Linked DNA regions of Xenopus tropicalis. The protein of the gene in region 1 interacts with the protein of each later gene in a biochemical or structural test. Links are inferred from orthologs where the notes say so. Each region holds a gene or a part of one and is shown on either strand. Other genes may lie near its edges. The genes, in order: tnks2 and lnpep.

What was found.
Region 2: the proteins of tnks2 (region 1) and lnpep form a complex in vitro, tested with the Homo sapiens proteins (4 studies listed by BioGRID and IntAct, with this or other methods). The link is inferred for Xenopus tropicalis from reciprocal best matches to the Homo sapiens genes TNKS2 and LNPEP.

Annotation. Positions count from the first base shown.
Region 1 is NC_030683.2:37,237,796-37,241,536, forward strand, and holds part of tnks2 (tankyrase-2), read left to right. Parts: intron 1-213; coding exon 214-323; intron 324-410; coding exon 411-599; intron 600-1,152; coding exon 1,153-1,405; intron 1,406-1,913; coding exon 1,914-1,996; intron 1,997-2,484; coding exon 2,485-2,605; intron 2,606-3,302; coding exon 3,303-3,400; intron 3,401-3,741. UniProt on the Homo sapiens protein: Poly-ADP-ribosyltransferase involved in various processes such as Wnt signaling pathway, telomere length and vesicle trafficking.
Region 2 is NC_030677.2:176,659,042-176,662,872, forward strand, and holds part of lnpep (leucyl-cystinyl aminopeptidase), read right to left. Parts: intron 808-3,831; coding exon 669-807; intron 1-668. UniProt on the Homo sapiens protein: Release of an N-terminal amino acid, cleaves before cysteine, leucine as well as other amino acids. Degrades peptide hormones such as oxytocin, vasopressin and angiotensin III, and plays a role in maintaining homeostasis during pregnancy.

The DNA.
Region 1 (3,741 bases):
TTTCTCATTTCAGTTACAGTGCATAGATCCTTTTACACAGAGTTTATACATCATTCACATCATGAAGTTTTCAACATTTTCTTGAATTTTTATCTCTTTACTTAGTATTACATAACCATTAGCTTGTTCCTGATCTTGCTCTTCTATGTAAATGTTCATATTTGTGTGACTCCACCTGAATGTCATTTCTGACGCAGCTGATTTTATTCACAGCTGGCTACAATAACCTGGAAGTTGCAGAGTACCTCTTACAAAATGGTGCTGATGTAAATGCGCAAGACAAGGGAGGCCTTATCCCTTTACACAATGCAGCATCATATGGGGTAAACAGTTTGTTTATTGGCATATGTTTGTCTAAATCTTCTGTTGATAATTCAGAAGTAACCCACAAAGCTATTGTTGTTTTGCAGCATGTGGACGTGGCAGCTTTGCTCATTAAATATAATGCATGTGTCAATGCCACTGACAAATGGGCTTTTACGCCCTTGCATGAAGCAGCTCAGAAAGGAAGAACTCAGCTTTGCGCTCTGCTCCTGGCACATGGGGCAGATCCTACTTTGAAAAACCAAGAAGGGCAAGCTCCATTAGACTTGGTAACAGTAAGTTGATGGCCATTTTATTATTTAGATTTATTTCAACTAGAAAATGATTGTGAACATTTTGTCAGTCTTACAGCGCCGGTTGATAATACTTTTAGCAATATATCCGTTTCTGTTAATTGCTGCATATTAGCACTAATTTATAAACCGCATGCTTGCATTTTTTGCCTAGCTGCATTAACTGGCGTTCAAGTTGCTGTGTAGATTGAAAATATCCTTGAAGTTTCTTGCAGAATTTTGTATCAGCCAACCATTCCTGCTTTCTCTGCTTCACATTAACTTAATTAAAATAAAAGTTTCTGGTCCTGTTAACAAAGGACATCTGTGTGACCTTTGAAGTACAGTGGCATTGTTCCTATGTGGCTTTATTCTTCCGCTTGAGGTCTGTGGCTGGAAAAAAAAAAGTGTAGACTTTTTTTCTTCAACATTGCTTTAGCAACCTAAATATTTAGGCATTCTTGGTTTCTTTAGCAGTGCTAAAAATATTTTATATACATGTATAATAAGCCTAATTGGATTAAACTGTGACTAATTATCTTTTCTCTGTGATCAGGCTGATGATGTTCGGGCTCTTCTGACAGCTGCCATGCCTCCAGCTGCTCTGTCAACATTTTATAAGCCACAACTAATAAATGTTTCTCAGCCTTCTGCCACTGCTGTGGCAACCCTTTCTTCTGTGCCATCAAGTTCACCAACTCTCTCTGCTGCAAGTAGCCTGGATAACTTGGCTTCCGGCTTCTCAGAAGCCACCTCTGTTAGTAGTGGAGGAGCTGAAGGAGCATCTGGATTGGATAAGAAAGAAGAAGGTAAGATGTGCTTAATGCTGTCATCATTTTGTAACTATCTGTGGAACTTTTACTGCAGCTTTATAATCTCAAATAAAAAGTACCTTCAGCATTTACATGTTCTCCATTTTGTTGCCAGTATTATGTCATTATTGACGGCACCAGTGACATTGTGGCACAATTTTTTTTCCTCAAAAGTAGGCCGGTGATCACTTCTATTTAAAGATTTTTTTTTTTTTTTTTTTAAAAAGGTACATTTTATTGATTCAAAACGCAAAACAGACAAAATTAAAATAAAGCAACTTATGCTCCAGTAGGGCAGATGGGTGTCAGAGTGAACAAAGCAATATAAAGCCATATCTGCCCAGAGTATGAACTTTTACCAATACATCAACTATAGTCCAAAGCTTTTGAACAAAAAATCACCAGGTACTTTGGTTATTTACCCCTACTAGAAAGAAGGTAAGAAGTCTTTATGATGACCAAGGAATAATAAAGCGTGTCTTTAACTGTACAATTTTCTCCATAGTTCCAGGTGTAGAGTTGAGCATCAATCAATTTTTGCGGAACCTTGGCCTAGAGCACTTAATCGATATCTTTGAGCGAGAGCAGGTTAGTACTTTATGTAGTCATATTTAATGAATTGTTCTTATTCATGTTATATGTTCTGCTCATCAGTTATTGCTGTGCAGGAAGATTGCAGCATTTAGTGATAGAATATTTTTAGTAAACCAGCTAGCATCACAGACATTTTGTTTCCTGCAGGTTTGCATACTAATACCCACACTTATCTCCATCACCAGTCAAGCAAAATCTGGGATCTGCTGCATTTGATGCAAAATGAAGCCTGGCAACTTTGATTCCTTGGCTAAAATATGTATTTAAACATACAGTATTTCTGTGGCAGCTTACAATAAGTTGTGATTACTGAAGAAAAATATTTAAAATAAATATAATCATTTATGGATTTGGTGCATCTTAGAATTACTTTTTTTGTTTAAATACAGAACTCTAAATACTGTATTCTGTCCAGACTTATCCAACCCAATTGTACATGGCAGCACTTTGGTATGAGGATTGTGGAATTCATGTTGTTTTAGATCACATTAGATGTTTTAATTGAAATGGGCCATAAGGAATTCAAGGAGATTGGAATAAATGCGTATGGACACAGACACAAGATCATCAAAGGAGTAGAGAGACTCATCTCTGGACAGCATGGTAATTAAAAAGATCTAATATTCCTTATTAATCCTTTATACATTTAAGGTAGAGTTTTCCAGTCACTGTAACTAATGTTGTGCTATCATTTGTGTATTAAAAAGTAGAGCCTACATTTTAAGCATTTACTGAAAAGTAGTATCATGTACTAAAAAGTAAGTGATACATGCAAAGTGTTAGTTGTATTTCTTCAAGGAAAGTTATGGTAAAGTAACAACTGTAGCTATGGTCAACTGATTTCAGATGTAGATTTTGGCACACGTGACTTTTTAAATGGTAGCAACTCTTCTCTGTTACAGTTTGTCATTCCCTCAGTATCATTGGAATAATTTTCCTTCTCATTTGGGCACTTTAATTGTAAAGAACATTGCAGAAAATATTTAAACATTTTATGTTCATGCCTTGAAAGTGACAACTTTTATTCCAATGAAACTAACCATTAATGGACTTTATAAGTATACAAGAGGCATTCTTTAACTTAGCTTATACTCAGGTGATGGATTTTACTCTGAAACTGAATGACTAATGGATACATGTAATATATTTTGCAGACTGGACAAACTATAAGAATATAGATCACTTTGTGTATATAAACATAAATAACATTGTTAAATGCCACGGAAAACAAAACATGGGAAGCTGCTAGAAAATTGTCTAACATAACCCTTGCCTTTGTTGTTGTTTTACTTTTATTTAGGTTTGAACCCTTATTTAACACTGAATACAGCTAACAGTGGAACAATCCTGATTGATCTTGCTCCTGATGACAAAGAATTTCTTTCAGTTGAAGAAGAGGTAAACTGTGTAACAAGATCCATTTCCTTTTGACACATATATATTGGAACTTTCTTGATTATAAATCTTTCAAAGCTTTTGAGATGAGTATAAATAAAAAAAAAATGTTTTTCTAATTGCAAATACTGAACTTTTCAAATAACATTCAGACATCATTTCCTCAGAACATTCCAAGAGCTACCTCACCTCCTCTATTTACCTAAATAAACATACAGGTGGTGCTTTAGTTTGGATTCCTGCTGCTTTTAGGACTGTATAACTCTAATTCAACACCTTCCAGATGGCCCCAACATGTTCTGCAATGTGCAAATTCCATTTTATGGTACTTTATTAAGATCTCA
Region 2 (3,831 bases), on another chromosome or scaffold:
GCCCCTGTTAGGAGAAAACAGCACCAGCCTGGGGTACCTGGAGCGAGCACTTCCTCCTTCCGGCTTCGTTTCGCTGCGACTAACACAATAGGCGCATGCGCAGTAGAGTAAAAACCGACTTCTCTGTTAAAGTTCCGCTATTCACTCTACTGCGCATGCACGCACAAGCGATACAGGAAGGAGGAAGCGCTGCAGGTACCCCGGGCTGGTGCTGTTCTCTCTGTACAGGGGCACCAGCCCGGGGTAAAAGGTATGCGATTCAAGTCACTTGGGGGTGCCTAACATTTTGGCACCCCCAAGTGACTTTGCCTTTCCTTCTCCTTTAAACAAACACAGGGAGCTTCTAGATGTTTACTCAGGAGGGGTAAAGCTTTCTGCAGAATAAATATAGTATTCTAGCACTAATGAATAGTATTCTATTGTCAATAAAATGCCATAATGACTTTCCTTTCCCCTTTAATATAACTATACCCCTGTTTGTGTTCACACCATGTAAAGAACTGCAATTGTGAAGCAATATAAATAAATACAATACAGAAGAAAGTTTAGGTTGGTCCAGTTTCTTTAAAGAAGCGGGGGTTGCTATCATTACAGAACTGAATTATAAGTTTAATTGACCAGAAGCGAATACTGAATGGAGTCTGATAATGGATGGATGTAAAGCTTACCTTTGGCATGTTTGAAAGAGAGATCATACTTTGATTTCTTATGATGTTGATCTGGAATGTGGATTTGAAAGCAGGTTCATCAAAGCACGGAAACACTTTTCTTGCTGCAAGTGGCTCAAACTGAGTGGCTGCAAGAGATCTGTGAAAATTGAAAAAGCATCAAACTGAAGATGAGTCCCGGAGACCTTGTTTATTTGGCTATTAGATGGACTTATTTAATATTTATAAAAGCAAAGGCAAGCAGCAGGTCCCTTTGGAAAGCACATTATAAGGTGAAACCAAGGGAGGCATAGTGGAGTTGATTGATTGTTACTACTGTGTAACTGAAACACTATTCCATAAACATACACACTGCTTCAGCATGCCTATGAACGTGTAAAGGCTGGCTGCTTCTCTACTGGAAAAGAAAACTCTGGTTCCATAAATGCAGAAAATTCAGATTCAAAACAAAGAGCTTGAAGAGAGAATCTGAAAATGGCTCATTCATAGGAATAAAACATAACTTAAAAATGCCTGATATGCATTTATGGTACATGTGCTCCTTTACTGTATAAACAAAAAAAGAAAAAACCACAAGGACTTAGTAGGGATTGCACAGTATAGGCAACAATGAATTCCCCAACCAGTGGCTCGTGAGCAACATGTTGCTCACTAACCGCTTGGTTGCCCCCAAACCAGGTAGTTATTTTTGAATTCCTGACTTGGTGGCAAGTTTTGGTTGAATAGAAACAAGATTTACCACCAAATAAGCTGTAAGCTGATAGTGTGCATAGAGGCTACCTAATAGCCAATTTTAGCCCATATTTTTCAAAAATTTCACAATTTTTAAAAAAAAAAAAACATTGCAACTTGGTAGTTAGCATTAGAAATGTTGGATTTGTCAGAACCTGTTCTTTTTCAAATATGTATTGCTGGAGTAAACCTATTGAAAGTTGAATTTTTGGCCTTACAACCTGAAAAATGCAGATTTCTGGATCAGTGCATTGGAAATTTGGTGGTGTAATGCTGGGAGAAGTTTCCATAAAACTGTACATATATTTGGTACTGGTGCGTTCAGGAGATAAAGGACTTTATAAATCAGCTGTAGTTTTGTGCATAAAACAAATTATGTTTATATTATATGTTTATATTAAGGAAAATGATTTTTTTTTTCTTCATTTTTTAGACATTCTGTAACAAGATATAGAATTCTAGCAGTGGAATTACACAAGAATTCTAACATATTTTGAAAGTTTAAGTTGTCCTAAAAAAGCAATACAAGGAGTTTTTCTGTGATTTAATTTGCATATGCAAATGAGGGCACTGATTCAGTTTGGTATTTGGCAAAATCCTTTATGGCGTATTTGTTATTCGGCACTAAATAATGAAAACAAATTTAAATGTGCTTAGAACAGGTTTTATAACATACTAAGCTTTATTATATGGGTGAACATTCCCTTTAATGCATATATGGTAGAACAAAGCGTATTTTTTTCACTTTTACACTGCTGAAGATAAACTAGACTAAAATCTGTCTAATCTCCATGCCTTACAGCTTGTGTTTTTGAATGAATACATTTATTCTTTATTCAGTGGATACAGTTCTCTGCCATGCAACAACAGAGACACTATTCTAAAAACATGTTTAGGCCTTGATGCTCAGAAGCAATGTTCCCACGAATACCTTCTTGGCTGTGTGCGCAAAAAACAATTCTTTTGTGCACTCATTTTAAACTTGTGTGCGCATTTTTAAAAACACTGTGCTCAAATCAGAATAGATATAACATTTAGGGGCTGATTTACTAATCCACGAATCCGAATGGGAAAAATTCGGATTGGAAAACGAACATTTTGCGACTTTTTCGTATTTTTTGCGACTTTTTCGTAGCCGTTACGACTTGCGCGATTTGTCGCGAATTTTTCATAGCATTATGACTTGCGCGAATTGTCGCAACTTTTTCATAGCATTATGACTTTCGTGAATTGTCGAGACTTTTTCATAGCCAATACAAATTTCGTGAATTGTCGCGACTTTTTCATAGCCATTATGACTTTCGCGAATTGTCGCGACTTTTTCGTATTGAGTGCTCGAAAAAGTCGCAAAGTACCGATCATTACGAAAAAAACGCATTCGGACGCTTTTCGGACGTTCATGGATTAGTAAATGTGCCCCTTAGTGTTTTCACACAAAATTCTTTGTGCGCACCACAATTTGTTGTAGATGCTGGTCTCAAAATTTGTGCACGTGCACAAGAATACACCATATAGGAAAATTGTTTGGAAGCTAAATACTTTTTCTTACCCATGTTTTCTGAGATATTAAGCACTCTCTGATCAAGGCCAATAGAAGCCATAGTTGCCATTACTGAAATACTCTGTAAGCTGTAAGATCTTGCATGCAGTGTCTGCTCAATTTTTGGCTTGTTCCTTTCTGTTTATAGGGGTACATGCCCCACATTTCCTACCCTCTGTCAACATGACCAAAATAAACAGATCTTTTAATTCTAAGTTCTGTTATACAGGGTATTTTGTTATTTTTTTTTTTTTTTACTAACTTATTATTTTCTTAAAAAGCTTTAATGCATAATCATAAGGGCTGTGGTTGTCTTGGACTGGTACAGAAGCCCAAAATATAATGTACAACATTTATTTTTATTTTATTTATTTACAAGGCATTTTGTTGTGATTATGTGATTCAGTGTTTTACTGGTGGGGATAGACACTGATTTTCAAATAAAGATATTTTCAGAAATTTTGTTTCCAGTTCTGGAGGAGATTTAGCGCAGGTGACAAAATGCCCATTCTACCATCACATACACCCTAAGGGCGGTGTTGAGCAATTCTATGTTCCACCATATGCAACACATGGGATATAATGGTTTTATTTTTTCCAGTAGGTCTGTACCAACAGGAATGTCATCAAGCCTAATCTGTATTGCATTCATCCTTTATTGGCTGCTATATGTGGTCAGGGATATAGTTATCACAATTAACCTCTTTTATAATAACTTTGTTACATTAGAGGTTCCCAATTTTATGTACAGTGTATTTTTTTAGTGAGGAGGAGCACTGGCCCATGTTTTGAAGTTAGAGATTATATCACTGGGGGGGCGCCTAATAAATCATTTTCCCCTAGTGATCAAAGCTGTCCTTTAAGCCGTAAAAAAAAAAAAAAAGTTTGCAA